4 linked regions of the Diceros bicornis minor genome follow. The protein of the gene in region 2 interacts with the protein of the main gene of each other region in a pairwise test. Links are inferred from orthologs where the notes say so. Each region holds a gene or a part of one and is shown on either strand. Other genes may lie near its edges. The genes, in order: FOXO4, SFN, MARK3 and CCNH.

The links.
Region 1: the proteins of SFN (region 2) and FOXO4 interact in binary tests that used the Homo sapiens proteins (3 or more experiments, as listed by UniProt). The link is inferred for Diceros bicornis minor from reciprocal best matches to the Homo sapiens genes SFN and FOXO4.
Region 3: the proteins of SFN (region 2) and MARK3 interact in binary tests that used the Homo sapiens proteins (3 or more experiments, as listed by UniProt). The link is inferred for Diceros bicornis minor from reciprocal best matches to the Homo sapiens genes SFN and MARK3.
Region 4: the proteins of SFN (region 2) and CCNH interact in binary tests that used the Homo sapiens proteins (3 or more experiments, as listed by UniProt). The two-hybrid records come from large-scale screens. The link is inferred for Diceros bicornis minor from reciprocal best matches to the Homo sapiens genes SFN and CCNH.

What each region holds. Positions count from the first base shown.
Region 1 is NC_080781.1:64,409,027-64,417,954, forward strand, and holds the start of FOXO4 (forkhead box protein O4), read left to right. Parts: upstream 1-5,320; 5' UTR 5,321-5,804; coding exon 5,805-6,257; intron 6,258-8,928. UniProt on the Homo sapiens protein: Transcription factor involved in the regulation of the insulin signaling pathway. Binds to insulin-response elements (IREs) and can activate transcription of IGFBP1.
Region 2 is NC_080752.1:42,625,783-42,632,696, forward strand, and holds SFN (14-3-3 protein sigma), read left to right. Parts: upstream 1-4,427; 5' UTR 4,428-4,515; coding exon 4,516-5,262; 3' UTR 5,263-5,763; downstream 5,764-6,914. UniProt on the Homo sapiens protein: Adapter protein implicated in the regulation of a large spectrum of both general and specialized signaling pathways. Binds to a large number of partners, usually by recognition of a phosphoserine or phosphothreonine motif.
Region 3 is NC_080763.1:48,046,767-48,054,802, reverse strand, and holds the start of MARK3 (MAP/microtubule affinity-regulating kinase 3), read right to left. Parts: upstream 3,429-8,036; 5' UTR 2,831-3,428; coding exon 2,780-2,830; intron 1-2,779. UniProt on the Homo sapiens protein: Serine/threonine-protein kinase. Involved in the specific phosphorylation of microtubule-associated proteins for MAP2 and MAP4. Phosphorylates the microtubule-associated protein MAPT/TAU. Phosphorylates CDC25C on 'Ser-216'.
Region 4 is NC_080740.1:14,503,337-14,511,281, reverse strand, and holds the start of CCNH (cyclin-H), read left to right. Parts: upstream 1-4,559; 5' UTR 4,560-4,685; coding exon 4,686-4,802; intron 4,803-6,845; coding exon 6,846-6,968; intron 6,969-7,945. UniProt on the Homo sapiens protein: Regulates CDK7, the catalytic subunit of the CDK-activating kinase (CAK) enzymatic complex. CAK activates the cyclin-associated kinases CDK1, CDK2, CDK4 and CDK6 by threonine phosphorylation.

The sequences.
Region 1 (8,928 bases), on a different chromosome or scaffold from region 2:
GTAAAATTATTTGTGTCTGTGGACAAGGACTGAAAGCTGATAGGCAAAGATGAAAATTGTATGAGGGCAAGGGGACTATAAACGTTTTGTTTTATCAAAAATTTTTGTTTGCTGTAGCCCTGTCTTTTCAGTTGGGGGAGAAAAGAATTTAGTGACAGGAAAATCTCTCTCTCTCGAGGAACGGCTATGTGTCTTTCCTTCTGATAACAATAATTGTGTATTTTACTCTGTTCTCCCTTTTCCCTGGCTGCCCCAAAAGGTGAATTTAAGGTTCAGCCATCGCACATTAGCTCCCTCTTCCTTTCCATGCCTCTGATGTTCTTCTTCTTTTCTTTTTTCTTTCTTTCTTTTTTTTTTGGTGAGGAAGATTGGCCCTGAGCTGACATCTGTGCCCATCTTCCTCTATTTTGTATGTGGGACGCCACCACAGCACGGCTTGATGAGCAGTGCATAGGTCCACATCTGGGATTCGAACCTGCAAACCCTGGGCTGCCGAAGCGGACCACAGGAACTTAACCACTATGCCACCAGGCCGGCCCCTGATGTTCTATTCCTATAATCTTAGGACATTTGTACTCTTATTATGGTAAAGTGCCTCAAATCCCTTATAGAAAGAGGCAAAATATAAAGCATATTTCCCAGTTTAAAAGTTATACACATTCATAGTAAATTGGAAAAATATAAGAAAGTAAAAAGAAAAAAGATAACAATTGTTAACACTTTTTGGCATTTCCTATCTTTTCTCAATGTGTTTTAAATAAAATTATGAGCATACGGCACATAAAGTATTGCATCCTGCTCTTTTCACGTAACTTTAAAATATAAGCACGTTTTCTTGTATTGGAAACTCTTTGGTTAATAATTCTAGTAAATATCATGCCAGTAGGACTTTCAAAGGTTGGAACCATAGAGGCCTGCAGGAAGAGTTAAAGAGGAGGCTCAAAGGTCAGTTCAGGCGAGCCCCAAACCTGAGAGATGCAGCTTTTTGACCTTGTTCCTGCAGGGAGCCAGGACCGAATTTGTGTGGGTGTGAAGTGAAAGCTCAGGGTAGCCTACGGCCAAAAGGGCAATCTGGGGTCTGGTTGAAGATCATAGGAAATAGGATTTTAGAGGTTATCCAATACAACATTCTCATTTTGCAAAGCCGGAAGAGGTGAATTGACTTGTGTAGGCTCTGGAGTCAAGACTGCCTGGATTTATACCTCTGCTCTACCACTTAGCAACTCCAGACCTTAAGTAGGTTCCTTTACCCTCTCTAGGTCTCATTTTCTTCTGTGAAATGAAAATAGTAATAGCATTTAACTTACATGCTTACTGTGTGGATTAAATCGGATAATCCATGTAAAACTCTTAGCACAGTGCCTAACACATATGAAAACCCATAAATGTTACTTATTAATAGTAGTGTAATTATTGTCATTATTCAATTATTTAGTGACAGAGCTATGACAAGGACTCAGCTCTCCTGACTCAACCTAGTGCTTTTCACTACATCAGACTGACTTTTAGGGTCCAGAAAGGAATGATAGTTGCCTCCAACTCAGTAGTGGTGCTAACTCAAATCCTCTTGGGGCTAAACCTGAGGACTTTAGTCTGAGGTGCATTTTATGTAAAAGCATCTAGCCTGGTGTTTGGAAAATAGTAGGCTCTTACAAAATGTTTATTAACTTAAAAGATTTTTTAAAACAACAGCAGGGTTGGGAGAGTGGTACAGGCTTCTAAGAGAAGGACTAGAAATCTTTCACAGAAACACATAAGGCAGGACTTATGGAAGAGGGCTACCAAAAACATGTACATTCCATACCCATCTGTGAAGACCAAGGACAAGCAGAGGTGGTGCTTTCTGAGATTCCTTGAACTTTCTCATTGTTATTTTTGTTAACTCCTGCATCTTTCCCTGTAGTCACTAGCAAAAATCCTATACAAACCCCAGGTGGAGGTTGTGTGTTTTTCAGAGCTGGGCAGGGTAAGAAAGAAGCGGGGAAATGTCTATCTCAATTCAAATTAATAAAGCCGGTTTGGCAGCAGGCTTGGGGGGTGGCACCCAGGTAGAAGAGTGGGCAGTGGCAATGAAAGAGGCAAGAGAGCCAAACCCCTATGACCTTCGAGAGGAAAAAAACAAGTGTTGAATGGGGAGCTAGTTGAGACCACAAACTCAGAGGTTGCAACTGGGAAAAAGGCCTGTGCCCCACCCCCCCATATCCTGCCATATCTGTTCATAATTTATGACTACAGTGGCTTTCTGGGGGTCTCCTGTTAGTCTTCTTTCCTGACCAGTGTCTCTTCTATTTTCCAAGGCCACATTGCTAACTCTGTCTCTTGACTAATGTATATTCTAACACTCCCACAGTAATAAGGGGGAGACAACATGCCCTCCTGAAATGAAAAGCCATGTAACCACAAGCACAAAATTAAAGAATACAAACTGAGTTCATAGAGGTACAGGAGATGCAAAGTAGGTAAGTGATCTGTCAGGTTGGGCTAGTTGGGGAAAGTTTCCAAGAGTACGTAAGTTTTGAGCTTTGAATTGGAAATTTAAAGAGGCGATGGACATGAGTTGGTGGAAAAGTGGCCCTTTTCAAACAAATGCACAAAGAGAGACAATGCAAGATATAACTGAATCCAGGACAGGTGCCTGCCCCACCCTGCCATTTCCCTGCCTCAGCAGCTCTGCATGATCTGCCACCACATCTGTTTCAGTTAGAAGAGAGCTCCTTGTGACCTAGTGCCCACCAGGCTCTCTCTTCTACCAAATTCCCCACTCTTGTGGCACCTACCAAGTACTCCAGGCTGTGCTGCAGGAGGAAGAGGCATATGCAGGAAATGTTTGCCAGGCATTGTGAGCAACTATGTCCCATCTCTCGAGTCTGGACCTCAGGTAGGAATACACGGTCTTTTGTTTACTCTCTACATGACAGATGGAGGACAAATGTATGTTGGAGTAGAGGGAGGCAGGAATATGTAGAACCAAGTTTGTTCTGTTACCGTAAGCAGACTAACATCATTTTGGAGGCCCAATGTGCTGCTGCCTTTGAAAAATCCCAGGTTGTATGGATATCCTTCCTGACAGGGAGAAGGTCTGGTCATCACAGAGCACGTATCAAGCAACACTGCAAATGGTATAATGCTAGGCACTGTACAGACAAGTTAAATTACAGTCCCTACCCCTAGGAGCTTGCTGTCTAAAGGGAAAATTGGGACATGGCCAGGCAGAAAATACATATGATACATTTATTAAAAAGTTGTCGAATGTACAAGTGCAATGTCATTTGATTCCTGATCCCATTCATTCGACCAACATTTATTGAATGTCTCCTCTGTGACTCCAAGCTGGGGTCACAGAGATACACAAAACTTGTCTCTGCCCTCAAGGAGTTCACAGTTTAGTAGAAGAGACATACATGTAAACAAATAATGACAATACAACATGGTCTGTGCTATAGAACATAAGCCTGCACAAAGTGGTTGGGAATGCAGAAAAGGGAGAACTAACTGCACCTGAGGGAGACAGGAATGGTTAAATAGGAGTGTTCCAGAATAAGAGACTTGGGGAGGGGATGACGAGAGGGAGGACATCCCAGGATGTGCAGGCAAAGGCATAAAAGGGTATGGTATTTCCAGGAAATAGTGTGAAACTCTGACTCATTGGAACTTAGTGCGCCCAGTGAAAGATGAAGCAGGAAAGGTGGGAAGTGGTCTGAATCTGAGGAGACCTGTATGCCTTGCTAGGGAGTTTGAACTTTATCACATAGGCAATGGGGAAAATCAAAGGCAGTTTTAAGCAGGGAAATTATATGATCACATATAAGTGATATGATCCCAGTTCTCCTGCCTCCTAGCTGTGTGACTTTGGGCAAGTCACTAAATCTCTGAGCATTAGTGTCATCATCTATAAAATGGGGATAATAGTGGCACCTACCTCGCAGGGTTGATTTGAGAAGTAGAGGAGCTAATGTATGCAAAACAATCAGCACAGTGCCTGGCCCATAATAAGTGCTCCATAAATTTTAGTTAGTTATTGTTATGAGCAGAGTTTCTTAGAAAGGTAACTTTGTTGGCAGCATAGAACATAAACTGCAGTGGGGAAAAGATTGATGGCAGGAGGTCCGATTAAGATGATATTGCAGGGATGGCCCCGTGGCTTAGTAGTTAAGTGCACGCGCTCCGCTGCTGGTAGCCCGGGTTCGGATCCCAGGTGCACCGACGCGCCGCTTGTCTGGCCATGCTGAGGCTGTGTCCCACGTACAGCGACTGGAAGGATGTGCAGCTATGGCATACAACTATCTACTGGGGCTTTGGGGGAAAAAAAAATAAATAAAATTATTTTAAAAAAAGATGATATTGCAACTTAATCCAGTGATAAATAAGGTCTTGAACTGGGATTCGGATGTGGGAAGTTAGGGAGATGAAAAGGTGAAGGGTAAGTTTAGCTTGGAAGATTGGGTAGATCAGGACAACCATTAACCAAATTCAGAGATAAGGGTAGCCAGAGGATAGGGGTGTGGGTGCAGGAATAGATAAACGAGTTCAGTTTGGGACCTGTTGAATGAGAAGTGAAGCTGCCTAAGACGGGAACCCAGAGAATATCAACATTTAAGGGGAGGCCAGAAGACCCAGTGGAGAAAACTGGTCTGCGACTGCACTGTCAGTGTGAACTGCGTATGGGAGGTTGAAGGGGCTGAGGGAGATGCTACCATCAGCTAACCATTTGTTTATGTTACACAAGCACTCAACTCCCCAACATGCATACAGCCTCTTTTCTAATCAGTTCTTTGGTTCTCAGTTTTGTTTCTTGTAGATACCACATTTTTTTTCCTTTTGCCCTCTTTTAACTGAAAGAGGGAAAGGTCTAGCATCTCTCAACACAGTCACCTAGGCGACCCTGAATCACAAGAGAGGAGGTGGGAAGCGGGGAAAGGAGGAAAATGATTTTTAAAAAAAGAAAAAGAGTCCGCGAAGATCTCTAATAACTAAAGTTCCACCTCCCTATATCCTGCCACGCCGCTCTCCTGCCGCCCTTATCGGGCTCCTGGCCGCGAAGTAGGACGGGAAATGTAGTCCTCAGGCCTGACCGGGTGGCACGACTGAAGAACTCAGTTTCCCAACTGCCTCTCCAGGCGCGTGCGCAGATGGCTGCCCCGGCGAGTGGTAAACAGAGACGTGAGGCGGGGGCTGCTGCTTGGAGCAAAACAAAAGGGAAACCCGGGGGGCGGGGGGTGGGGGGGTTGATAGGGGAATTGGTGCGGGAATAAGAGGGCCAGGGGCTGCGGGGACGTGGACCTTATCAAGAGTGGAGGGAAGGGAAGAGGCGGAGGGCGGGGGAGTCAGGGGAGGGGCAAGTGACGCGGGGGAGCGGGGCGTGGGGGAGGGCAGTGATCCGGGTGGAGGAAATTTGGGAGGAGTGTCCGGGGGGCAGCAACTTAAAAGGGAGAGGGAACTGCGGCTCAAGAGACGTTCGGTGATGGGAGCGCAATGTATGAGGGGATACCGTGCCTCAGGTTTAAAAGAGCAGGAAGCTGAGTGAGAGGTTGGAGAAAAAGTGTCTTCGCTAGGCGGAGGTTACAGGTGGTGTCTCGGAAAGAGCTCTTGAGGCTGCAGGCTGTAGTCGAGAAGAGGATCCGAGAACTGTGTGGAAGGGACAGCTTGGGGGCTGGCGTCTTGGGGCGAGGGGGAAGTTCGCGACTTTCTGAGGACTGGCAGGAATGTGCCTCCTGGCCCTTAGTGCTTCCCCCCTGGGGGGAGGCATCGTAAGGGACTGTGGCAGGCTCCTCTGAACGCTGAGCGGCGGAGGTCCAACTCCACGTATGGATCCAGAGAATGAGAATTCAGCCACAGAGGCTGCCGTGATCATAGACCTCGATCCCGACTTCGAACCCCAGAGCCGTCCCCGCTCCTGCACCTGGCCCCTTCCCCGACCAGAGCTTGCTACCGAGCCGTCCGAGCCGCCCGAGGTGGAGCCAGGTCTGGGGGAGAAGGTACACACGGAGGGGCGCTCAGAGCCGATCCTGTTGCCCTCCCGGCTCCCAGAGCCGGCAGGGGGCCCCCAGCCTGGGATCCTGGGGGCTGTAACAGGTCCTCGGAAGGGAGGCTCCCGCCGGAATGCCTGGGGAAATCAGTCATATGCAGAACTCATCAGCCAGGCCATTGAAAGTGCCCCAGAGAAGCGACTGACACTCGCCCAGATCTATGAGTGGATGGTCCGCACTGTGCCCTACTTCAAGGACAAGGGTGACAGCAACAGCTCAGCAGGATGGAAGGTAACTATGACCCCCTTACCTCCATCCCAATACTATCTGCCCCTGGGCCCCCTAGCCTCCTTACTTCTACTCTGGGGCCCCTTTTACACCCTCACCTCAGAGATTCACCTTCAGTCGTCAATTAGACCAACATTTGCTTAGGAAATAATATATGCCACGCTCAGTGCTTGATGCTGGAGTGTCACAGATGAATAAGACACTGTCCTTGCCCTGGAGAAAATTGAATTCTCTGCTCACTGCTCAACACTCCCAGCACTTTGGCTTGGGCTGCCCCAAACACTTATTCCCACAGAGAAGTCTTTATCCTATGTACAGCAGGAACTGTGTGGATTCCCCACAGGAGCCTAGCTTGCCCTCCTCCCCCGCCTCCCACCCCAACACCTTTTCTCCCATTCCTGTGGGATTACTTGGATTCCCCGCTTACCTCCCAACACCTCAGGGTAGAGGTACTGTTGTACCCAAGAAGAGGGAGTGGAGTGGAAAAAGAGAAGAAGAGTGATCTTCATGGGGTAAGGTAGCTGATCTTATGCACCAAGAAAAAAAGGCTGTGAACTGCTACCTGCTCAGTTTACCCTATAATGCCAAGAAACTCTCCCTTGTAAGGAGCTATCCAAGTTTGGGAGGAAAGTTTTCTTTTACTGTTGAGGAATGTTAGTCATGAAAAAAAGAGATAGGGCTCTGACTTCATAGCACAAGGTTGGGAGTTCCCTTGGCCTTCCATGAAGAAACTGTGAGAAAAGATCTCACTAGATGCTCTGAAAATGTGTCCTGAGAAATATGGGGCTCTATTCACGAAACTGGAGAGCTTCAACCCCTATGGATGTATCTTGTATCCTCATAGGTGGTGAGGTCAGCATACAAGGAAGTACAGAGGGTTGAGTGAGCAGAGGTTCTTCCCGTAGGTATCAAGGGATCAGATCTGCAGTATCCTAGGGGTTGGGCAGAACAGAAAACAGGACAGCTGACTGAGACCCTTGGCACTATTTCTGGGTAGACTGCCACGCCACAGTCGCAGCTCATAAAGAGCTCCCCTCCTTGGACCCAGCCTACACAGCTGTTTTTCTTTTCCCTTAGGTTCATTTTCCAGGGTAGGAGAAATAATCATGAGTTGTTAGTTTTGCTGTGGGAGTGTAGTCTCTCCTTCTAATTTACACTTATATGGGGCTCTTTAGTTTACAAAGTAGTTTTTAAATTTTTTATTTTATTAATCTTCACGGCAATTCTGAGATTCCACATTTTACATATTAGGAGCCTGGTATAGAAAAGTTAGGAAACTCACCTGATATCAGTACAATAAGGACTTGAACTCAGGTCTAACTATAAATCATATGCTCTTTCTGCTAGTCCATGCTGCCAAATTCTCTTCATTGAAATGATGGCAAAGCCAAATCAGGATGAGCCTGGGGTCTCCAAGGCTCTCACCCCCACTCCTCATCCTCACTCCACCCCAGGAGGGGAAGCCTCACTCCTGAACTGGCTTTCCTAGTGATGGGCCAAGGTTACTACCACCCCACCAGGGGGCGGCACTAACTTAGAACAAGAAAGCTTAGTTTAGGTGGCTTGGGGAGCAATTAGCAGTCACCCCGCTTCCAACAGGTAAGAATTAGAGGCTTCTAGGGAGCTGACCTCTCCAGGTAGGAGGCTGTACCGTGTACTAGTCCCAAGGCCTAAAGAAGAGGGGATGAACAAATGGGCCTCATGTGTATTTAGTAGTAGGGAAAGGAATGGGCCTTCTCAGTAGACCCAGAGTTAGAGGACAAAAAGGGGGGAAATCTTGGTGCCAGAAGTCACTGTGGTCCTCGGTTACTAAGAGCCCAGGTTGGATGGACAAGTGTGATTTTTTTTTGAAGGAACTGAGTATTAATGCAGCCAGAGTAGTTGGAGTGCCATTATTGCATGGTCCCAGGGAGACTAAGAGTTCTTTGGCTAAAGAGCCCTGGAACAAGAAGCTACTTAAGCATCTTTTCCTAGGCAAAGGGTCTCCTTATCTAGAAACACATGAAGTGATTTCTGACTGTCTATAGCCTCAGCTTCCTAGTTGTTCCAAGCCTTTCTGGGCTCCTCCTGAGTTTCTAAACACTGAAGAGCTCCATGTGGGAGGTCAAATGCCCCTAAGGTTGGAGATCTTTTGCACAAATTCCTGAGGGGAAGTGGGGGAAAGGAGGTAGAAAAGAGAAGGGAGGTTGGGGGTGGGGCACACAAAAGGATGGTGTAACTAGCCTGGAGCAACTAGTAGAAATAAGCTGCTCTGGGGGCTCAAGAAGCTGCCAATCTCTGCTCCCTGGGCCCCTGGAAAAAAAGACTTATCTCTAGCAGAATATCAGCAGCCAGCAGTGAGGGAGGAAGGGAGGACACATAGCTTCTAATACCCAAGGCCTCAAGAGCTGACAGAGCCTCAAGGAGAGCCTCACCACCGTCACCCGGGGGCCATCCACTAATCAGGCAACAAATATTAATTATGTACTTGGAGCTTGCCACTGTGAGGGGGCACTGCTGGGGGCTGCCCGACTGGACAACATGATCCATGACCTGGGCACTTATACTTTGACACTAATTACATGAAACTGTAAACAATACAATATAGATTGGGTAAACCGTGTGGAACAGATTAAAAATACTGTACAAGAAATTTGGCTGCAGAAGTCAAGCAACCACTTTATAAAAGAGAGGG
Region 2 (6,914 bases):
TTTCCCTCTTCTTGCCATACCCTTGGCTGTCTGGTGCCACCTTTACTTTGGGCCCAGGGGTGGGGCCTGTGATGAGGGTGCAGAAGAACATCTGGCTCACCCTCACTGCCAGCTTTGTTCCAGCTGGTCAGTGCTGTTCTGAAGATTTAAAAAAAAGATGCATGACAAAGCCAGAGGTGACACAGGAGGAGTGGCCAGCGTCCTCTTCACTCTGCCCCTCCAGAACTGGTCTCAGTTCCAGAGACCTTCAGGCCTTAGCTGACCTCTGAACTCTCTCAGGTCCCAGCCCAGGCTGGGAGAGAGGGTTTAACTCCAGGCTAGGACTGTCACACCCCTGAACTGAGCCCAGCCCAGGGTAACAATCTCATGGAAACCTTCCCTCTCCCCGGCTGCCACCGCACATGGAGATACGCAGAGTGCTAAGAGCTAAAAAATCATCATAGTGGCCATTTAGCAAGGTCTGGCCAAGTGCCAGGCCCATTTTCTCACCTAAACCTGTGAGGAAGGTGATGTCAGCCTTTTTACAGATGAGGGAACTGAGGCTCAAGGAGGGCGCAGGAATTGCTCCAGGTCTCCCAGCCGAGAGAGCAGCAGGATTTGAACCTGATCTCTGCCCTGGCCTCTGACCCTTCTGCATTACCCAAGGAATGAATACAGCTGCTTCAGGACGAGGGGCTCTCAGAGGGAGAAACCCTAAGGTTAGAGAATGTCCTTCATAGGCAGCAGGGGCTTAGACAAGATCTGTGCTAGCCTCCTTGTTGTAGTGATGGGAAACTGAGGCCCAGAAGCAGGAAGGGACCTGCCCAAGGCCTGATAACAGAGCTGCCATGCAGTCTCAGCCTGACATTCCATTCTCTTTCCAAAAATTCCACAATATGTCCTAGACCAGACTGGTCTAGGAGATGTAGGATACTCAAAACAGCAGTGCCTTGAGGGGAATAAGACTCAGGATAGCTGAATCACTTAAAAGTAGTCTAATATCCCCTCCCAAAGGTAATTAGTAGAGTGAGCTCTTAGCTGGATAATTGAACCCTTGTTCACAACTAACCAGGGGGAGAAGGTGCCATAGCTTCCTCCAGTCACCTGTTTAATTTGATCATTCCAAGACTGAAAAATTTCCTAGGAAGTTCTTTCTGGAATCTAACCAGAGTCCCTGCTGCTACAGTCAGAGCCCTGTCCTCTGTTCTCAGGGGAGATAGATAGCAACTGGTTGCTGTCTTCTCTGTGCCACAACCATTCTAAGCCTGTTATTACCAGTCAAGAAGGATTGGTTGGGGGCCGGCCCAGTGGCATAGCAGTTAAGTTCTTGCATTCTGCTTTGGTGGCCTGGGGTTCGCTGGTTCTGATCCTGGGCGTGGACCTACTCACTGCTCATCAAGCCATGTTGAGGCGGTGTCCCGTATAGAAGAGCTACAACTCCACAACTATGATATACAACTATGTACTGGGGCTTTGGGGAGAAAAAAAGAAAAAGAGGAAGATTGGCAACAGATGGTAGCACAGGGCCAATCGTCCTCAAAAAAAAAAAAAACGACAGATTGGTTGTCTATGGGACCAGAGGCCTTGCGCTTCCTGGTAGGATGGATGTTATAGAGAAGGGTAGGGAGGTCGCAGGCAGGATAAGGAAAGCCCCTGTGGGCTGCAGCCCCAGCTCCTGTCCTGCTGACTCAGGCAGCTGACTCTGGAACTCTGTGCCCTGCCAGGGCCTGCTGCCTCCTGCCTGCCTGGTCTCCTGGGCTTGGGAAATGGAGGCCTGGAGGCAAAGGGAGGTGCCTGAGACAGGAACTGAGTCAGGATCGACAGGCCAGAGCTGGTAGGAGGTGTCAGGCAGCCTGGCTCCCAGATTCACCCCTGAGCTTCTGCAGGGGAGAGAGCGGAGGGAAGGGGCTTCTTTTCTGTTGCTCAGGGCTGTGCTGAGGGCATGGAGCTCGTGGCGTGAACTACCACCAGGTCTCCTGCCTTGAGTGGTAGGAAGAGAATGCAACCTAGAGACAGAAGCAACTCCAAAATTCCTGGGCCTGCCAGACCCTGCCCTCTAGGTTTCTGGTATCCTGGGATCTCCAGCTTTCTCCCAGGACTTGGGAAAGCCTGGGCTGGGTGACTAGTACAAAGGAAGGTCCTTGAGGGCCCTGGGCCTGCATAGGTCAGAGGAATGTCTGAGAGACAGGGAGGAGACAGTGCTGAGTGAGCGCATCTGACTGTTCATTCATCTTCTCGCCCCTGTGGAAACCCAGCTGGGCAGGGTCTGGGCTTTGGCTGAGGCCTACCCAGCTCCATGTTAGTGCTCTGAGTGCATGTGTTTAAACCAGTAAAGTTGGTTGGATTTTTTTCACATGATAATAATAGTTCCCATCCACTCTAAGTGCTTTCCATCAACTTATTTAATCCTCACAACAAGCCCTATTTTACACTTAAGAAAACTGAGACTCACAGAGCTTAAGTCACTTGGCCAAGGCCACAAGAACTTGTAAGAATTGAACCCAGGCAATCTGACTCCAAAGATACTTGGCTATTTTGTCTCTCAGAAAAATAATACATATTCACCCTTGATAACTTGAAGAGAATAGGAAAATCAAAAGGAAAAAAAAATCATAGTCTCACTATGTGGAAATATGCTCTGTGAGTTGGTTATTTTAGTGTACTTCCTTTCCATCATTTTCTGTGACAGTGATCTGATTTGAGCAAAGCCTTTGGGGTGTCAAGCCTAAAATCCCTTCTGCTTCCTTGGAAAAGCTGTAGCATCAGCCCAGAAATGTCCCTACTTTTCCTTCAAAGAGGCAGATCTCATCTTTGGGCCTGAGTTCTGGCCTAAGCCTCCCTCCAGGAGGGGAGGGTGGGTGTTCAGACACCAAGAGCAACCCAGGGAGGGACAGGCCTGTGAAATGGTCCTGGCTCCAGGATTAAGCTGGCTGGATCCAGTGAGGTGAGCCCCACCCCTGAGCCCCATCTGAGCTTTGGCTAGGGGTGGGGCAGATAAGCAGGAACCCACTCTCATAGGTGCAGTACCACCACCTTCGGGTGAAACTCCGCTGACAGGAGGACAGCGCCCCAGCGATCAGGGACAGATGGTTGGCAACAGAGAAGTTTCCATCTCTGAGGCCTCTGCCAGGGGTCAGAGGTGGGGTCATGGTCAAAGGGAAGGGACAGGGAAACTTGTGAGAGGCAGGCCGTAGGAGACAGCACTCAGCTGGGACTGCTGCCCCATAAAACAAAATGGTATGTGTCACCGCCACCTCCTTTTCCTCAGTCCTGTCTTTCTCCTCAGGTTGCTCGTGTCCCCCCTGGGGAACCAAACTGGGCTGAGCACCCAGGTGGCCTGCTTTCAGCCTCTGACAGAGGGCCGGCTGAGTCAGGCAGGAAAGTGGGACAGCCAGCAAGCCGGGCCCCCACCCTCTGTGAGCCCCACTGATACATGATGGCAGGCAGCTTGAAGCGGGCAGGTGACCAGGCGTGGAGAGCTAGAGGATAAGTCCTCAAACAAGTGGCAACAGGCCACCAACTTGAAAGGGAAAATTGTGCTGTGCTGCGATGGGGAAGGTGTCCAACAAACCTACTGGGTGACTAATTACAAAGGCTGGGCTGGAGCGTCAGAGGCCGCTCGTTAAACTCCTCATTAAGTGGCACCCAGAAGCTGCCACCTGCGCAGTCTGGGAGCTCAGAAGGGACAGGACCCTGAGGGGGAGTAAGGACTGGGGGATGGAACCATTTTAGGTAGACTCTGAAGAAGCTTGGATTTCACTTCTAAATCCAGCCTGGAGCTCACAAATCAGAGACCTCGATGGGAGAGAGACCAAAGGAAGTAGGATGCAGGGGAACTTTAGCTGTATGACCTTGAGCAAATCTCATCCCTCTCTGAGCCTTAGTATTCCCATCTCTAAAGTGGGGGTAGTAGCCACAGTCCAGCCCACCTCACAGGGATGTAGTAGGGATTAAATTAGATCATGGATACGAAAGTGCTTGGGAAACTGTACAGCCCTGCCTAAACATAAATTAGCTCACCTGGACCAAGCAGGGAAACGTACATGGCAGGATTAGGAACCCATCCTCCTGCACCTGGCTTTATGGGCTCTGCCTAGGCTGAAGCAGCCAGGTGGCTGAAGCCATCCTTAGCCCCTGGAAGGACACCGTGAAGGAGGATCTGATTTGAGAAACTGGCGCAGCTGCCTAACGTGGGCACCCATGTAATAGAAGCCCTGAACAAGAGGGGGCAGCCTGGAGCCTGGAAAGGTGCCTGTGCAGGTGGGGCCAACGCCCAGATTTCTCCTGCTGACTGTCCTGATGACTCACCCCCACATCCCAGCCCTTTTACCTTTAAGGAAGAGCCGGAAAGGGTGTGGGGAGAAGAGGCGAGGGAGGCAGGTCCTGGGCCCCAGTCCCGCCCTCTGCCCCTCCCCACCCTTCTGTGGGCCAGGCCATCCAGCCAAAAGGCAGGCAGAGAGCAAGAGAGGCACAGAGTCCGGCATTGGTCCCGAGGCAGCCAGTTAGCCCGCCGCCTGTCTGTCTGTCCCCAGAGCCATGCAGAGAGCCAGTCTGATCCAGAAGGCCAAGTTGGCAGAGCAGGCCGAACGCTATGAGGACATGGCAGCCTTCATGAAGAGCGCCGTGGAAAAGGGTGAGGAGCTATCCTGCGAAGAGCGAAACCTGCTCTCAGTGGCCTACAAGAATGTGGTGGGTGGCCAGAGGGCTGCCTGGAGAGTCCTGTCCAGTATCGAGCAGAAAGGCAATGAGGAGGGCTCGGAAGAGAAGGGCCCGGAGGTGCGAGAGTACCGGGAGAAGGTGGAGACCGAGCTCCGGGGCGTGTGTGACACCGTGCTGAGCCTGCTGGACACCCACCTCATCAAGAAGGCCGGTGATGCTGAAAGCCGGGTCTTCTACCTGAAAATGAAGGGCGACTACTACCGCTACCTGGCCGAGGTGGCCACCGGTGACAACAAGAAGCGCATCATTGACTCAGCCCGGTCGGCCTACCAGGAGGCCATGGACATCAGCAAGAAGGAGATGCCGCCCACCAACCCCATCCGTCTGGGCCTGGCCCTGAACTTTTCTGTCTTCCACTACGAGATCGCCAACAGCCCTGAGGAGGCCATCTCACTGGCCAAGACCACCTTCGACGAGGCCATGGCTGACCTGCACACCCTCAGCGAGGACTCCTACAAAGACAGCACCCTCATCATGCAGCTGCTGCGAGACAACCTGACACTGTGGACGGCCGACAACGCTGGGGAAGAGGGCGGCGAGGCTCCCGAGGAGCCCCAGAGCTGAGCCAAGCCTGCAACCCTCCCGGCCCTGCCCTGCCCTCTCCAGTCCCCCACCCCCCTGCAGAGAGGACTAGTATGGGGTGGGAGGCCCAACCCTTCTCCCCAAATGCTCTGCTCCAGCTCAGAAAGGCTCCATAGAGAGGGCTCAGCAGAGCTGAGGTCACCTGGAGCCAGAGGACCCCACTCTTCTTGCAGCTGTGGGGTGCTCCTAACCACTGGGCATCCCACCCACCTCTGCTCTCTGCACCCCCTTCCTCGAGACCTCCACCCGTGAACCGGGCCACTTCTTCCCGCCTCTTGACTCCCTCCTGCTCCTGCCGCGTCTGGATCTTAGGAATTGAGGAGTGTCCCACCCTTGTGGCTGAGAACTGGACTGTGTGGCAGAGGCTGGACATGGGTGTGTGCGTGTGTGACTGTGTGTGAGAGCGAGACTGAGAATGAGAGGGAAAGCATGTCTGCTGGGTATGACCATGTTTCCTTTCAATAAAGTTCCCCTGTGACACTCCTCCTGTCTTTTCCAGTTATTGGCAGAGGACTGGGACTGGGACTGGGATTGGTGTATGATTTACAAACCCTGACTTTGGACCTCTGATTCAGGGCCCTGACCTCCCATGAGGTTGGCTCAGTGACCCGCAGGTAAGACTCAGGGGCCAGGGACTCCAGGTGAGAGGTTGGGGGTCAAGCTCTCTCCATCAGGATGGTCTCAAGCCGACTGGTCTGGTCCCGGGAGGGTCGGGTGAGGCCCAAAGCGGCTCTAAGTCTCCTCCGAGCTGGGCGGAAAGCTGAAGAGCTCAGATCTGAGGGGACAGGAAACCAATGAAGTCTCAGGTGTGAGGTCTGAGGGCAGGGCCGCACGGACACGCTGTAGTGAGCAGCAGTGAGCACCCCAGAATTGAAAGCCGGGAATAGTCCCGTCAGGTGCTCAGATCCGAGCGGAGGGGAGTAGGCTCTGCGGCGGGGGTATGAAGCCGCCATTAAAAGCCCAGATCTGAGGAGGGGAACGCCCCCCCAGCGTTCGGAGCTGGGGACAAAAGGAAATGGGCCGGAAAGGAGGAGGCGCAAGCTGGGTGGGAAGGGCCCCGGGGAGCAGACACCAGTCCCGACCAGCCCAGCTCGCCGCCTCCGCTCCCGGCAGCAACACGCCGGAGCATGCGGACGCAGCGCTGGGTCCCACCTTCACAGCCCCGGGCTGGAGGCGGGCCCGAGGCCGATATCGCCCAATCACGGGAGGGAGCTGCTCAGGGTACCGCCCCCGGGGTCCGACTGGCCAATGGGGGAGTGAGCGGCGCAAAGCGCGCCGCGGCGCGCTGCCCGGCTGAGGGCCCCCCGCCGCCCGCCGAGCGCCAGTGGCGTTGCTTTCCCGGTTTCGCTCAGACAAGTTGTCACCCGCCGACCCCGAGAGCTCGGCATCCTCAGAGCAGCGAGACAGGGCAGGACCGTGAGGAAAAAGCAGTCCCTGCCCTTTGAGTCATCTGCTCAACCGGCGGTGCCTCGTCCTGGCCGGCGGGCAGTGCGGTTGAGAAAAGGCCACTAAGGCGTCCCCACCACACTCCAGAGTCCAGGCAGCCCTGAATTGGTGGCCAGGAAGCTTGGTTTGTGTCCCCGACTGGCTGTGCGCCGTTAGAAAAGCCATTATACTGCCCTGTGCCTCAGTTT
Region 3 (8,036 bases), on a different chromosome or scaffold from region 2:
GTGCGCGTGCTCTGCTGCTGGCAGCCCAGGTTCGGATCCCGGCGCGCACCCACGCACCGCTTCTCCGGCCACGCTGAGGCCGCGTCCCACATACAGCAACTAGAAGGACGTGCAACTATGACATACAACTATCTACTGGGGCTTTGGGGGAAAAATAAATAAATAAAATTAAAAAAAAAAATAAAAACACCCACTATCAAATATTCATTAAAAAAAAAGAAAACAGAGCAGTGTACTAGGATGAAGCTAATATTCCTGTTGCAAATTATCTGCCTTTTATTATTCTTGATCTACAAGCAACATGCTTATCACAATTATATATCATTATTTAAAATTTAAGTAAGATTCCTAGGGTAAGCAAAATGGAAAGTCTTTTTACAACATAGAAAGACAAAGCTGTTATAGTCATAATAGCCAAAAGGTCCATCAACTGGTGAATGGATTAAAAAAACCATGGTACAACCAAACAATGAACTACTGACTACTTAGCAATAAAAAGGAATGAACTACTGATACACACACAATCATCAATAAATCTCAAAAGTATGATGCTAAGTGAAAGATGCCAGACACAAGATTATATATGATTCGTTTCCAATTATATAACATTCTAGAAAAGGTAAAACTATAGGGACAGATAACAGATCAGTGGTTGCTAGGGGAAGGGAGAGAGGATTGACTGGTAAAGGGGCCACAAGGGACCTTTTCGAGCAATGAAAATGTTCTATATCTTGACTGTGATGATGTCAAAACTCATCAAACTGTACACTTCAAGAGTCTATGTTCTATCTCAATAAACTTGACCTTAACAAAAGAGTTGCTGAACAGACTGAGAGCTCCCATTCATTCTTGTACCCTCACCACACAACTGGCAGGAAGTCTAATACCTAGTTCAGTAATGATAGGTAAATAATACGGTATATGCCAAATGTGTAACACTGACACAAGGGCATCACACTGTGAAAGACATGCAACTACTCCCAGAACATGCCAATACCAGGGTTAAAAATGGAATAGGGCATGGTGAATTAATGCAATGAAGTGCCACAAACCTCTGATTTTAACAGTCAAAAATTCCATTTTAAATACATTCCATGAGAATAAAGGCACACTCCATACCCTACGTTGTTTTTAAAGAATAAAGTTAGTAATTTCTAATGACACACAAAAAGATTACAATGTTAATTCAACAAATTCTCCAGAGAACAAGGTAAAGACCCATTGGTGTAAATCCTTTATTATTACAAATCCGCTATGACTGTTTTTAGCTTCAGTTTATTTAGGGAGTATGGAGCTCCTGCTCTGGTTCAAGATTTTGCTTCTCTGAATGAAAGTCAATGATCAAAGCTAAGCAATTCACTTTTTTGCTTGCTCTACTCTACAGGACAGTCAAAGAACAGGAAAACGACAGGTCAGAAATAGGTTCTTCAAAAAGTCTATAAGAAAATGAGTTGGCTGACTCACCTAGTCTACAATTTTCTATTACTCACTCTTTACGTAATTTTCTAGCCCATCTGAGGTAAAGGCACATACAGCACTGTACTACTTACTGACCACGTTAAAGAGCATTAAGTACTATACATCAATTTACTATAAGGATGCTTTAGACCAAGGCTTACATAAACACATTAAATCACCTAATAACTATCCAGCAAACAAGTGGCATTTTGAAGATTAAAATGAAGGTATTTGATACCACTAGCCCACAATGTCTCAGGCCGTCACTGAAAGCATGAAAACAGGCAGAGCAAGGAAGTTTTTCCTAAGTGATGGCATTTTCTTGCCAGGAATTACCTCATAACATTTATAATGAAAAGGCAGTGAAGTTTCTTTACAAGTTACTTTCTACATGTTTTACAGAAGATAACTCACAGCTAGATTGGAACAGTTCTGAACCTAGTGCTAGAGAAGAGTTAAGAAAGCACTTGGACAGTCAATATTTCTCCAATGGAATTTCTACTACATGTTTTCATTCCCTAAAAATGCTGTTCCTGGCCTTTTTGAAAGGTTTACATGAACAAAATCAAAGGTTCCTTTTAAAGAATCATAGGATGTGAGCGCTGGAAGGGACCTAAGAGCTCATCTAAGCCAACCTCTTTTCAGGAAGGAGGAAAGCTAAGCCAGAGCGTGTGTCCCTCAACTAGGCAGCGAGTGGCAGGGCAGCCTTACTACACGTCTTCCTTTCAAAAATGCTTAACTGACTCCTTCAAAATAGATTCGTACAGAACGAAGCTACTCTTCAATGAAGTTTGCGCTCTCTCAGAGAACTTCTCTTCTGAATAGCTTCGGAGTTCCGTCTAAGGGGCCGCAAAGACTCCTCAGTGGGCACTTAGTTTTAGTGACTGTCATTTTAAAGAACGAGGCATAAAGGACAGTCCACTTGACCCAATCACTTTTAATCAGCACCACGAACATGTTTTTAATCTCACAACCTCTCAAGAGCTGCCTGCCCAACTCAGAAGGAGAGTTTGGTGCAATAAGCACTAAACACTGCACAGCTCGGGCACACAACCCCACTGCGCGGCACCCCAGAGCCCCAAACACTGATAGCAACGCCGCGACCCGCAGGCTCTGTTCACAAACCAGACCCGGCGCAACCCCGCATGCACGTCCCCGGCCCGCACCGGCGGCCGGACGGCTGCCCCCTCCAAGAAACGGTCCCCCCAGGCGCCTCCGGCCTGCCCACTACCTTCAGAGTGCTCGGGGCTGGGGGACCCGACTGCAAAGGCTGCTGTCGTGCTCCGCCCGGGGAGTCCACGCGAACGCCCAGGCTACTTACGTTCTCAGTGTCTCGTTCATTCACCGTGGGCAGCGGAGTCCTAGTGGACATCTTACTTCCCTCACTTGTGCACAACGCGAGAGTGAAACAACGGCGGCCCTGGGGCCGGCACGGCGGCGTCGAGCGCCGGCGGTCCTGGAGCGCCGCCTCGGGAGGGCGGCTCCCCTCCCCCACGGCCGTCTAGATTCCGGGCCGGGCCCGGGCCGTCCCCCGGCGGGTCCCGGGGCTCATGCTCCCCCGGCCCCGGCGGCCGCGCCGAGGAGCCCCGCGGGCGGCGGTGGCGGGGCCCGGGCGGCGGCGGCAGGCTGCGGGTCGGCCCGCCGGCGTCCCCGAGCCTCAGGGCGCCCCGCGGGCCCGGACCGCCTGGCCTTCTCCTCTGCTCCCGCCCGTCGCGCCGCGGATTTCAACGCCGGGGCCTCCACAGAGCGCCGCTGGAGGCCCCTGAAGAGGAGGAGGATGTGGAGGAGGTGGAGCGCAAGACAGGCCGCCGCGGGCTGCGGGCGCCGACCATGGAGGGGGCTGCGGAGGCGGCGCCTGCGCCCGGCTACTCTTCTCCCTCTGGCTCGCTTTCAGCCTCAGCCTCCGCCCGGTAACAAGCGCCGCCGCCGCCTCTCCCGGCACCTCAGAGCCTCACAGACCCAAGATGGCCGCCCCTCGGCTTCCTCTGCTGCCTCCGGATGCCGGAAGTGACGGCACCCCGCCTCCCGGAGTTCGGCCAATCAGCGCAGCCCGAGGAAGCCGGCCCAGCTGTTGTTGCTAGGGGCGACTCGGTCCAGTCCGGGGCCAAGGGGGCGGAGCCCAGGGCCCGGAAGGGATGGCTAGTCGCCCCCGAAGGCCGGGTTGGCTGGATCCCAGCGTTCCGGGCTCGCGGACGCTTCCGAAAAAGCCGGCAAACGGCCCTGGGCGGCGGCCTGAGTCCCACTGCTGGGTTGGCATTATACAGTGTTGATCGAGCGCCTGCTCAGGTGTGCACAACCTGAGGTGGCATGCCCGAGACCGCGCTGCACCGAATCCAGCCACGGCAGCAATTATAGGGTCGGGGCTGCGGGGAGGCCGGGTTCCTGTATCATTGACAGTGACCCGGGAGTTGAGGACTCAGTCACCCTTCCTGCCTCCGGCTCTGAGCAGCCGGGGGCTGGACTCGGCATCCCGAAGGCAGCAAGCGTGTCCTGCCCTTGAGGAGCTCGCCGTTAGGAGGGAGATGGACTGGGACCCAGCTAAATGCCATCCGGAAGGAAGAGTGCTATAAGGAGGCTTGGAGGGGCGAGGCAAAGCTCTAGAAACCCCCAGGGACCAGTTCCTAAATGCCCATAGTTCATTTATAACAAGGCTCTTCTTACTTATCCAGCAGCATGTAGCTGCTGGAGGATTGGAAGCATCCCTGGGTCCTAGCCTAGGGCCAAGTTAAGTGGACGCTTGCAGCCTGGGACACTGGAAATGCTACCTTCCCTGGAAGGCTTCCTTGTCCACTCTCCTCTGCATATGTCCGATGGTCCTACCCAGAGCCTGTCCATTGGTGCAGGATTCTGAGGAAGGAGAGCAGTACGTGCTAGAGTAACGTGAACTGTTACTGAGAGTCTACTTTGTGGGTACATTACATTTGTTACCTCATTTAAGCCTCATGGTAAGATGGGCAAACACACCTTGTTATCTAGTCTAGACAGGTGACAGCAAATTGACCAAAGTACCCAAGTTGGTTAGCCACAGAGCTGGGATTTGAACCATATCCTAAAACTTCCGTAACAAATAAGGCCTTGCAGTGGGTATGTCTTGCTTTTCTTTTTCTATTTTTATTTTTTTCCCTTTTGATCCCCCAGCATATGAACCGTCTTGTTACAGCTGGGACAGTTCCTGCTCTGTGAGACATATATGTCTTTAAACACCAGAATCATTCCCAGAGAGCGCAGATACTCCCAACATAAAAACATGTGAGGACTGAGATGTTTCTATCTCACCCTCTCAGGCAAGTGTTCACTGGGCCAAGGGCAGGCCTGTTTAAAATGTTACTTTCTTTGTCCCTCTCTAGCCAAGCAGAGGTGGTTGAATTCTTATTAGTTAAATGTGTGCTTCACACAGTTCAACTGAAATGTGGGTGAGCACAAGACTGTGAGAGTCCCAGCGGGGGCATTTATCCCAACATGGAGGATTGGGTCAGGGCTTCCTGGAAGAGAGGTGTTTATGCTGAGTCTAAAAGCATAAGTAGAGTTAGCCAGGTAAGGATGGGTGGGAAGGCATTCCAAGCAGAAGGACAGCCTGTACAGGGGCACAGAGATGAGGAAGAACACGGTGGGTTTGGGTAAATGTCAAGAGAGCAAGAGGTCAGCCTGGAGGGGTAGGCAGTAGCCAGGCCAAGTTTGGACATAGCATGGCATGCGATTCTGCATCCTGATGACAGGAATGTCAACTAGGTTACCTGGGAAAACACCCAGAGGACCCACAAAAGGGTTTTAGCCTTGGGCAGGAGCTGAGAGAAAGCGTTTGGACGATTCAGAACATTCCATATTGGCCATAAGTAGCTAGGGGATGAAGTTTCTGCCTAGATGCTTCTCTCACTGAAGCAACACATTAAATAATGAGTCAGTGAGTGCCAAAAGGTAGGAAATGAGGCTGACTGGTTTTTTAATTCAAGATGCTTCTGGTTTTCAGAAAGGCTAGAATTAAAGAAACATTTTGAACTTTTCCTTGCACTTATGTCAAATGACATCATGGTACTATAAGGAGCTGGAAATGGGAGGCAAGGCATGTGTGTCACAAGCAAAAAAAGGAGGAGGAGAAGAACAAGGAGAAAAGAAGGGGAAATAAAAGCAAAGCGTTGTTCTGTCTGTAGGACCTTCTGTGGCCCAGAATTATGTACATCTATGGATCTATGGTCTGGAAGGAACAGAAGGGCAAGATGTGGAAGTCGTTCTTTGACTGCCTTCTGTCCTTTTTCATATTCCTTGTTTCCTGTCTTCATATTAAAATAGGTTCTCTCTCAGTCTCCTTAAACTGAAAAGATGTAGCTAGATATGCCATGCTGTGTATGTGCATAGATAGTTCTTACTTTCATGTCAAGAAAAAAAGGTCATCATGAGACATCAGAAGCAGAAGATAATCTAGTCCTACCTTTGCTGCTGTACGACAGAAGAGGAACTGAGCCTCAAAGAGGTGAAGTAACTTGTCTGAAGTTGCACATAATGAGCAGCAGACCAGAATGGGGCCCACATCTCCCAAGCTCCAGATCCATGTCCTTTCTCCATAGCTAGTGTAGGCACATGGTGGGGAGATCTGTTCAGTATCCCACCCCACTCCAGCATCAGAAGGAAAGAATCTTTGAGTACCTGTACTAGCCCCGAGACTGCTCTCCTCCAGACTTCTTATGCAAGAAAAATAAGCACCCATTTGTTTAAGCTATGCCAATTGGGTTGTCTGTTACTTGCAGCTCAGTGCATTCCTAACCAATACCACCATCTCAAGTGGTCAGATCTCCTGACCCCAGGGCCTGTGCTCTCTGCAACAGAGGGTGTGGGACCTGCTGGGACCCAGGAGCCATTCCTCAGTGTGTGTGTTGTAGTGCTTGTGTAATTGACAGACAACAGACAGAGGGCTGAGCACTGAGAATAAACAAAGCCACAGAGAGGAGAAGAGAAGGAACGTGATAATTGTGGGACACCTGAGGTCATCATGCCTAGAGGCAGGGGAAAAGTTGGGGCTGGGCCACGTGTGTCCCCAAGTAGGCCAAAGATGCTTGGAGGATCTGGGAAATATGAAGTCCATTCCAGACTCCACCCCCCAGGCTGCTCCCCAACGTATCAGGTATCAGAGCAGGCTGGCTGCTATTCTTTTAATTCACTACTCTGGTTCCCTTCTTCACCTCAATGGGGCCACTCTTGCCCTCCATGAGGGCCAGCAGGCAGCTTAGGAATTCTCATGTCCAACACTTTGTTCCTGCCATTCTCCTGCCTGGAACGGCTTCCTTATCTATCTGAATTCTCCCTGCTGTTATACAGCCGTGTCATCTTACTTCTTCCATGGAGCTTTCCCCCACTAGCCCCCAGTGAGCTCTCCCTCACTCCCAGCATCTTTGATTTTTACTGCCTGAGTCCATAGTGCATTTACTGAGTTCCAGCTGTGTACCTGGCACTGCACCAGCCACCTATGCTAAGACCACTAACTCTCCAACAGCCTTGTGAGGGAGATGTCAATGGTTTTTATTAAGGACTCATAGTTACCCCTTTATCAGTTCCCATGATGCACTGCATTTTGGGGAAAATGGGGATAGAAAGGGCCATTTGCCCCTGCACTCAATGGCCGCAGGCTATTGAAATGTTCTATTCTCTGATCTGCTGGAGATTATAGATGGAGATCTAGCTCTCGATGCATATGTGTATGACCTTCTGCTGGGTATCATTGCTAGATCCTGAGAGTGTAGCTCTCTGTAGCAGGCCTTCTCTTCTGCCCACTCTTCTCTGAGCTGGGAAAGCCTACTGTTTAGAACCACATCCAAAGGTTTATGGAGACAACAGAAGTGGTAGAGAAGCAGGCTCTGGAGTTTGAACCTTGGATTTGAACCCTGGCTATGACCCTGAATGCTGGGTGATCTTGGGCAAATAACTTCATGTCTTTGAGGCTCAGTTGCTTAATCAGTCAAATGGGAATAATAGTGCCTGCCACCCAGTTGCTGTGGGGATCCAAGAAGATAATGCCCATAGAGCAGCCAGCACATATGTGCAGAGTCCACCATTCTGCAGCAGAGAGGACCTGCCTTCTCGGGCAGCTGCATTTTTCAGTTCTCCCCTGGGATGAGCACTGGACTTGGAGTCTGGAGACATAGGTCAAGACTTATTAGGCCAAAAACGTCTTGGAGTTAGAGAATCACTCCACCTCTCAGGTTTCCTCATCCAACTTCACCTACCTCACTGGGTACTGAGCTCATTATGGGAGGTAACGGATGCAAAAGCCCCTGGTAAGGGGTCCCACAATACAAGGTGTTAGTGTTCATACTATTGCCTCTGTTTTGCAGACAGGGACGTGGAGCCTCAAGAAGGGCAAGAGGCTTGCTCAGCTCCCCTAGGCAGGAGGCAGTGCCCTCGGATTCCAGTCTGGTGGCTCTGACACCATGCTGGCTGCAAAGACAGGTAGGCAACAAAAGAATGGGGGAGAGAAGGGATGAGTGGGTGAATAAAACCCACTACCTCTCCTGGAGCCTCCTATCTGCCCATTAAAGTAAGCACATCCTCCAAATACAAATAATAACTTTTTCAGAAACAGTAAAGTC
Region 4 (7,945 bases), on a different chromosome or scaffold from region 2:
ACCCTTTGCTAATCTTCTTACTAATTCATATCTCAGCTAATTCACCTTATTCTCCAAGTAGCCAAGCTATGCTCTTTTCTGATCTCTAGATCCACCTTGTACTTTGCAGCCCTCTACTTTGCCCAAGCAGATCCCATCCATCTAGAATGTCCCCTCTCTCAACATCAAAAACAAGTTCAAATTTCACACAAATATTATATCCTCCAATTAGCCTATTCTATGTGTCAACTAAGTAATAACTAACATTCACTGAACAATTTGTAGGAGCCAGTCACTCTGCTATATCTTCACATCCATTAACTAATTTAATCCTCACAACCTCCTTATGAAATAGCTACAACTATTTTCTTCACTATTCAAAGGATGAAACTCAGAATAAAATAGATTGAAATGACTTTCCCAGGAATACACAGTAGCAAGTAGTAAAGCTGGGATTCTGATTTCAGATCCTGAGCTCTGAAACACTAGATCTACTGAGTCACAAGTGAAATCTTTCCATCCTGTTAAACTGCTATAAAACTGTGTTGGAAATGATCATGTGGTACTTTATATAATAGAGGTTTTCACTCTTGATTAATTGGTATTAAAAAAGGATAAGGTGGTAACAGATCACTCCCAATCATGGTTGTAACAAAACCAAGGCAATTCTGTTTTTTGGATTAACAGTGATTTAAAAAAAAAAAAAAACCCACAGGAATTTTCTTGAGGTTTACCACCTACCCCTGGCTAGCAGAAGAGCCACTAAGCCTTTGGACTAAACTATGGCTGTTGGGGCTGAATTAAGTAGACTCTGGGTGTTCTATTTGTTTCAAACCACCTCAGGGTCTTGTCTACATTAGTACCAGGCATCAACACTCAGGGACAAGAAATCTTATTACTCTGTACCCTACTGGGCCCTACACAAGGTTACTGTCATTGAGAGGGGACTGTATTTGTGCATGTCATAATCATTCTACTACACTCTAAGGCCCCTGCGGTAGGAACTGTGAAATAGCCATTTTTATGTCCCCATCACCATCATCACCACCACCTATCACTTAGTACCAGGACTTGAGTATAGTGGTGACTTAGTAAAATATGCTGAATTGGACATGGATTTATAGAATTTGCTCCTCAATATGTTGTCAAGCATCTTCACACCTTTATTTTAAATAGTGCTAAGACAAAAGAAAAAGTGTCCCAATTTTTGAGGGTTACATTTAGATCAAGGATATTTTGTAAATGCTGTTTCTTCTTTTTTATTTGTTTTCCTTTAGTAGTAACTCTGTTTTGGAGAAACTAGGTATTTGCTGCAGGCAACTCCTTTTCTTCTCTTAGTCATAACTTGACAACTAGGAAAAGATTTTAGAGCCAATGCTAATTGTACATATCAAACAGAATTGCAAAGGCCTAACAGCTTTTGAATATCATTGCAAAGCTATATTTTGAATGTCAGAAACCCATGTCAGTAGCTGAAGGGGTACAGTTTCATGTCAGATTTTAAAGTAAGAAAGATACTATGTGTTTCTGTGAGCACAGATGTAATTTATTCTCCCCCCTCCCTTTTCTTCTTTGTGGCCCTGAAATCAGAAACCATGTGGATATGAGTATACTGATGTGTTTGGGAAATAACTATAAATTAATCAGGCCACATAATAAATTATTACAAAATTATTCCAAGTTCCATACATATTTATTGGTCACTCCTTCACCCTTCTCACTCCCCTTTTCTTCCTTTACTCCTAAGATCAGGCAGTCTGATCTTTATTTTTCCCAAATCGTTAAGATCACTAGGGCAGAGCCTGAAGAAGAGGGAAGCTTCTCTTAAAGCAAGAGAGAGGAACTCCTAATACTCTCATAGGAAACCGACATAGCATGTGGGTAAACCGGCATAGCATGTGGGTAAGCCCAGAGCCTTTCCACGGTGACCAACTGATGACATCTGCTCTGCATCACCTCATCTCTGATCGGCAAACCAATCTCTGACCGGTTTCACGGTAATGCTGGCAGTCAAAATATTTAGAGGTTAGGGGCCAGCCCCGGTGGCCTAGTGGTTAAGTTTGGTGCTCTCCACTTCGGTTCAGTTCCCAGGCGCGGACCTACACCACTCATCTGCCAGTGTCCATGCTATGGCGATGGCTCAGATACAAAAGAGTGGAAGACTGGCAACAGATGTTAGCTCAGGGTGAATCTTGCTTGGCAAAAAAAAATAATAATAATTTAGAGTTTGTCTATAAATGCATACTTTAACACAGTTTAACAACTGCAGCATAATAAAAGAGATTGTGTTTACTTTAAAAAACTAACTATCATCTTTCCTGTTAACATTCACTTCTGGGTAGTGCCTAATGAAATAGTAATATCTTTGTTTTCAAGTTTTGAATTTTCCTATTACTCTTCTAATAAGATTCTGTCTGTTTTGTTTTTTGTTTATTTGTTTGAAACATCTCCATCTAGCAGCAGGGAAATTATGATTTAAAAGTAATGAGAGTGGGGTGGGAGTGGAGGGGAATTGGTCATGTATTGATAATCATTGAAATACGTTTTTCTCTGTTCCTTATGTTTTAACTTTTCCATAAATAAAATAAAAGTGGAGAGAACAGTTGCCACTTTTTAGTTGGAACTAGAAATGGAAATAGACAAAGGCACCAAGTTCTAAGTCCACAGTCTGCCTTCCATTGTAGAAATAGCAGAAGAAATCAACTTGTGCTTAGCAGGCTGAACAGGGGAATGTCACTCAGGCAGATTGCCTAATGCAGCATCCGGGCTGCTCACCTTAATAAGAAGAAATCATATATGAGCCTTAATGTTAGGGCATCAGCAACAACTTTAGTCAGTAGATGGTTAATTTAGATACAATTCCTTCTACATCCCCAAAATATGGTTAATGTTAATTTTCAAAGACTAAGATTTGTTAAAGGTTTAAAAAAAAATAGTTACACCAGCAACATCAGGTTTTTCATATTTGTCTTCCTAAATGAACTATGACACTCAGCAATTTTATTCTTATCTCTGTGGAAATCATATTCTGCCATCTCTCCCAAATGCCCATTTTTATTTCCCTTTACATAAAACAAAAGAAGTTGTCAAATGCCTTTCAGGAAAACAAAATAAAAAGAATTGAAATGGTATATATAACTGTCACAGGTCTAAGATTTTATACATACACTCATTTACCTAAATCACTTCTTTTCCTGCCTATCTTTTGTACCTTTGTTTTTCCTTTTAAATTATTCTTCCCCATTATACAATCTTTTAGGGTGCTCACAATCCATGGGACTCATAACTTGTCATGCCCCTCCTTAACATAATCACATTTTTCTCTTTCTCTTTATCTCTCTTTCTTTAGCCAATTTACTAGTCCAAATTACCAACGGATGTTCAAGGTGTGTCTGGATCTCCATAGTTATAAACTACAAATGGTATATAAGTTTGAGTAATTCAAATAACTCTGGCAAACTCTACCAACTGCACCCATCAAAATGAAACAAAAAAGAAAAAGCTCTCCCTTTCTTAAGCCCCTAAAAACATTTTCATAGAAAGCAGAGTTAGAGATATCCCACCACCTCTTTTTACCTGTGTGACCTTTTCAACACATAAACTCGGAGTATCATCATCTTTATCTGCTTTTTATCTGTTTTTTTTTTAGAAAAACTACTTGCTGTAGGTAAATCCATCTTTCTAACCTGATGTGTGATACACAGGAAAATAAGATGTCTAAATGGGACAAATACCAAAACTGGTAAAAGCCTTTGGAATCAATGTAAATTTTGTATCTCGAATGCAATTTTGAAAGTACTGGTAATAAAAAACATTGTAAATCTCTCAAGCATTGATGACAACTTATTGTAAGGCTCCCTTGGGGCAATACTGAAGGTGGGAATATCAAGAAAACCCTAAAACTACCATACATCGTGGCTTCAGAGATGGAAATAGGAGGAGGATTGGCTAGTTATCAACGGAAGGCGAAAGAAAAAGACACAGAAAAATAGACAGGGTCACTTTATCGGCAGAACAGCAAAGGACAATACTCATGCACTGCTTCCAGTTTTCCAACCATGTTCCCTTGTCTCTGAGGCCGAGATTTTTCCTAGTGCTCCAGGAATGTTCTTTCTTAAAAGAGCCAGGCATGCTTCTTTGTTAGGCCCTTGCCTGTTCTATCTGCCCCAAGATCACCCCCACCTGGCTGACAGGCCTACTCCCTCAACTCTTTCAAGTCTTTGCTCAAACGTCACCTTAGTGAGGCCTGCTCTGAACGCCCTATTGAAAAGTTGACACTCTCTCAAATCCCTTCCCCACTTCTGATTACCCTGTGTGAACTGTTTATGGTAGCCCTCACACAGCCTCAATTTACGTCCCTTTCCGACGCCCCCCGACTGTCGCTTCCCCTTTAAATCTTGTGGGGGAAAGGGCGGAGCTAGGGCTAAGGCTCCCAGGAAGGAGGAGCGTGTCCGTAGGCTCCGCCCACTTGCGTCGTGGGCGGCGGTCAGCCAGACGCGCGAGATGTTCTCCTCCTAGTCCGCTCCGGAAACGCGACTGCGGACGGAAGTACCACGTGGTTGTGACGTCAGTGCGCCCGCACCGGCCGGCCTGACGTCCTCGGCTTCCGCGGGAGCCCGGTGGAGGCTTAGGTGCTTTACTCTCCGGTGTTGTGGCGTGTGTGGTCTTTCTCTGCGGACGCCCGGGGCGTGGTCTCGGACTTCACCATGTACCACAACAGCAGCCAGAAGCGGCACTGGACTTTCGCCAACGAGGAGCAGCTGGCGCGGCTGCGGGCCGACGCCAACCGCAAATTCAAATGCAAAGCGGTGGCGAACGGGAAGGTGAGGACTCCGGCGGCCGCCCCCTGCCCCGGCCTGAGAGCTGCTGCTGCCCGCCCCGCGCCCGGGGCCGGCCGCTCGTCGGTCTCCCTCCCGCCTCCGCCCCCGCGGCGCGGAGTGCGGGCTTCTGTTTAGTCAACAGGCGCGCCCCTCGCCAGGTGCTGTGGGTGGAGACGGACAACGCCACCCCCGTCGTCGAGGGGCAGACAGACAAGTAACCAGTCACGGGGCGAGGAAGAGACGTTTAGGGTGCTGACGTAGTGCGGGACGAGAGCCGTTCATTGTCAAGAGGGAAGGTCGGGGAAGGCTCTTTCCAGATGGGGAACGGACACTGCAGGCGGACAGAGCCCCAGGTGCAAAGTGGGAGGTCAGAAGTTTCAGGGCGGGTGCCTGGAAGGCTCACGATCATGTGTGGCGGAAGCCGAGTACCTGTGCCTGAAAGGCTGGAGAAGGTGGGCAGGGCACTTGTCAGCGGAAGTGAGGAGTTGGAAGTTACGATGAAGGGATGGGAGTCTTGGAAAGATTTTTAATGGGAAATTAACCTTATCAGATTCAGTTCGGAGAGCCCTCTGGTGACCTAGTGGTGAATGGATTGGATGGGGCAGGGTGGAGGCAGGGAGACAGGAGAGCGTTGGCACAAACCAATTGACTAAAAATGGTTTGGACTACAGCTTGCCAGCCAAGTCTTCCTATTATAGCTCCCACCTCTGCGGTTTAATCTCCCACAAGCTCCACTACCCCTTCTAGCACAAGGTTCCCTTGGGTGAGTAGTCCACGTCTCAGACCTATTGGTAATGAGGTACTTTTACATTTAAGTCACGTATATTTCATGTCACTTTATTTCTGTTCTACATAAAATAGTACATATTGTGCTGTGTGCCAGGCACTATTCTAAGCATTTAGCAAGTGTTAGCTCATTTAATCCTCACAACTACCCCATGAGGTAGATACTGTTATTATTCTCGCTTTACAGCTGAGGAACCTGAGGTACAGACAGGTTGAAGAACTTCTCAAGGCTATGTTGCAAGTAAGTGGCAGGGCCAGGAGTTGAACCCAAGGAATCTAGTTGCAGCATTCCTGCTCTAAACCACAATGCCATGAACACCTGTGTTAGTTTCCTAGCGTGGCCGTAAAAAAATTACCACAAACTGGGTAGCCTACAACAACAGAAATTTATTATTTCACAGTTCTGGAGGCTAGAAGTCTGAGATCAAGGTGTTGGCTGAGCAGAGCTCTCTGAAGCTTGTAGGGGAGGATCCTGCCTTTCCTCTTCCAGCTTCTGGTAACCCCAGGTGTTCCTTTGCTTGTGGCAGCATAATTCCGGTCTCTACCTGCATGTTTACATAATGTTCTCCCTGTGTCTTTGTATCTTCATGTGTCCTTCTTATAAGGATACCAGTCGTGTTGGATTAGGAGCACACTCTACTCAGGATGACCTCATCTTAACTAATTACATCTGCGGAGACCCTATTCCAAATCAGGTCACATTCTGAGGTACTGGGGATTAGGACTCCAACATACCTTTTTTTTGGTAGTTGTAATTAAACCAGTAACAGCACCTAATGCTATTTGTTGTAAAATTGTAGTATTTATTAACCATCTAGTGTATTCTGTAGACAGTTTACAAAGATGGATAAGAGGTAATGTTTTAAGTGTCAGAATTATCCTTGAGACACTTGTTGATTTTTACTTGAACCTGTGTGACTTAATGATTGACTGAGAAAGGGATATTGAAAGCTTTCCAACCATTGACAATGTGTATACTTTTTGATTGATGATTAATGACATCAAACCTGTGAGCAGTATGCACAAACTCCATCATGATTGCTTATACCATAATGAAGCAAATGTCCAGCTGACATTCGGAGAAGTTGTGAAATGATGGTATAGTTTTGGTTTATTATATATTTTCCTAAAGTTATTTTCCTATAAAGTTATAAAGAGAAAATGAGGTGTAGTATATTTCCCTTTGGTTGGAGATCTGGACAGAGAAAAATATGTTAAGATTATTTAACTCACTGATCTTTTGTTTAACTTGATCTAAAGGTTCTTCCAAATGATCCAGTCTTTCTTGAGCCTCATGAAGAAATGACGCTCTGCAAATACTATGAGAAAAGATTACTGGAATTCTGTTCGGTGTTTAAGCCAGCAATGCCAAGGTCTGTTGTGGTAAGTTATGGTAGTGATGAAGTATAATATCTTTTAGCTGACTTCTGAAATCTTACCTCTTCTGAATTTGTGAATCATTTTCTCTATCCACTTTACTCAAAAATGCACCTTAGTTATATAAATGTATAATTCATCTATTGGAGTTTTTGTCACATTATATATTTTTAATAAATGCCTTAAATTATAAATTCCTATATCATATCTTACCAAGTGTTTCAAGTCTCATTTCATAGTCAAAAGAATGTTGAGGTCTGCTAGGCAGGTCATGACATCTTCATTTTATAGAGAAAGAAAAAATAAAATTGAATTACTTTCCCTCCAGGTTCTCAGCTAGTTAGCGAGAGAGCTGGGAGCGGAATGTGGACTAGTGCTTGTTCGACTCTGCCACACGCGTATTTGAAATAACGCACCATGCGTCGTGTGAGCTCACAGGCCCCAGCTGGAACTTTTGCCATGAGAAATTTTTAAACCTCGATTTACAGGTTTAAAAGGATCCTCCCCTACAAGCTTCAGAAGCTGAAATTTATCTTTGGATAAACAATTGTCTCGTAGTTTCACGCGTGATTCTGAGGACCCCGTTTGTGTGTGTGTGTTTACTGTGGTGGGACAGTGGTGAGGAGAAACAGGTAGTGAGACTTTTTGGCTCTATGGGTTTACATACACTGTCTCTGTAATTGTTCCTGTTGTGTGTATTCTTGTTTATAGAAGATAAGATGCAATTAAAAAGCTGAGAGAGAAAAAGGAGTATAAAATTTTTTCCTTATTATCTCACAGGTTTGATGTGAAGATCAAATATGAAAGTCTGTGTAAGTGCAAGTCTATCTTAAGTTTTAAAGTTATACAGAGTGAATAACTTACGACCCAACAGAGAAAAACTCTCTAGGAAATCTCCATTTTTATAGTTGAAAAAATTGAAGTATATTGAAAATATCAAATCCAAAACTATTCATAGTGTTTTCTTAGTTTACCAGACCTTC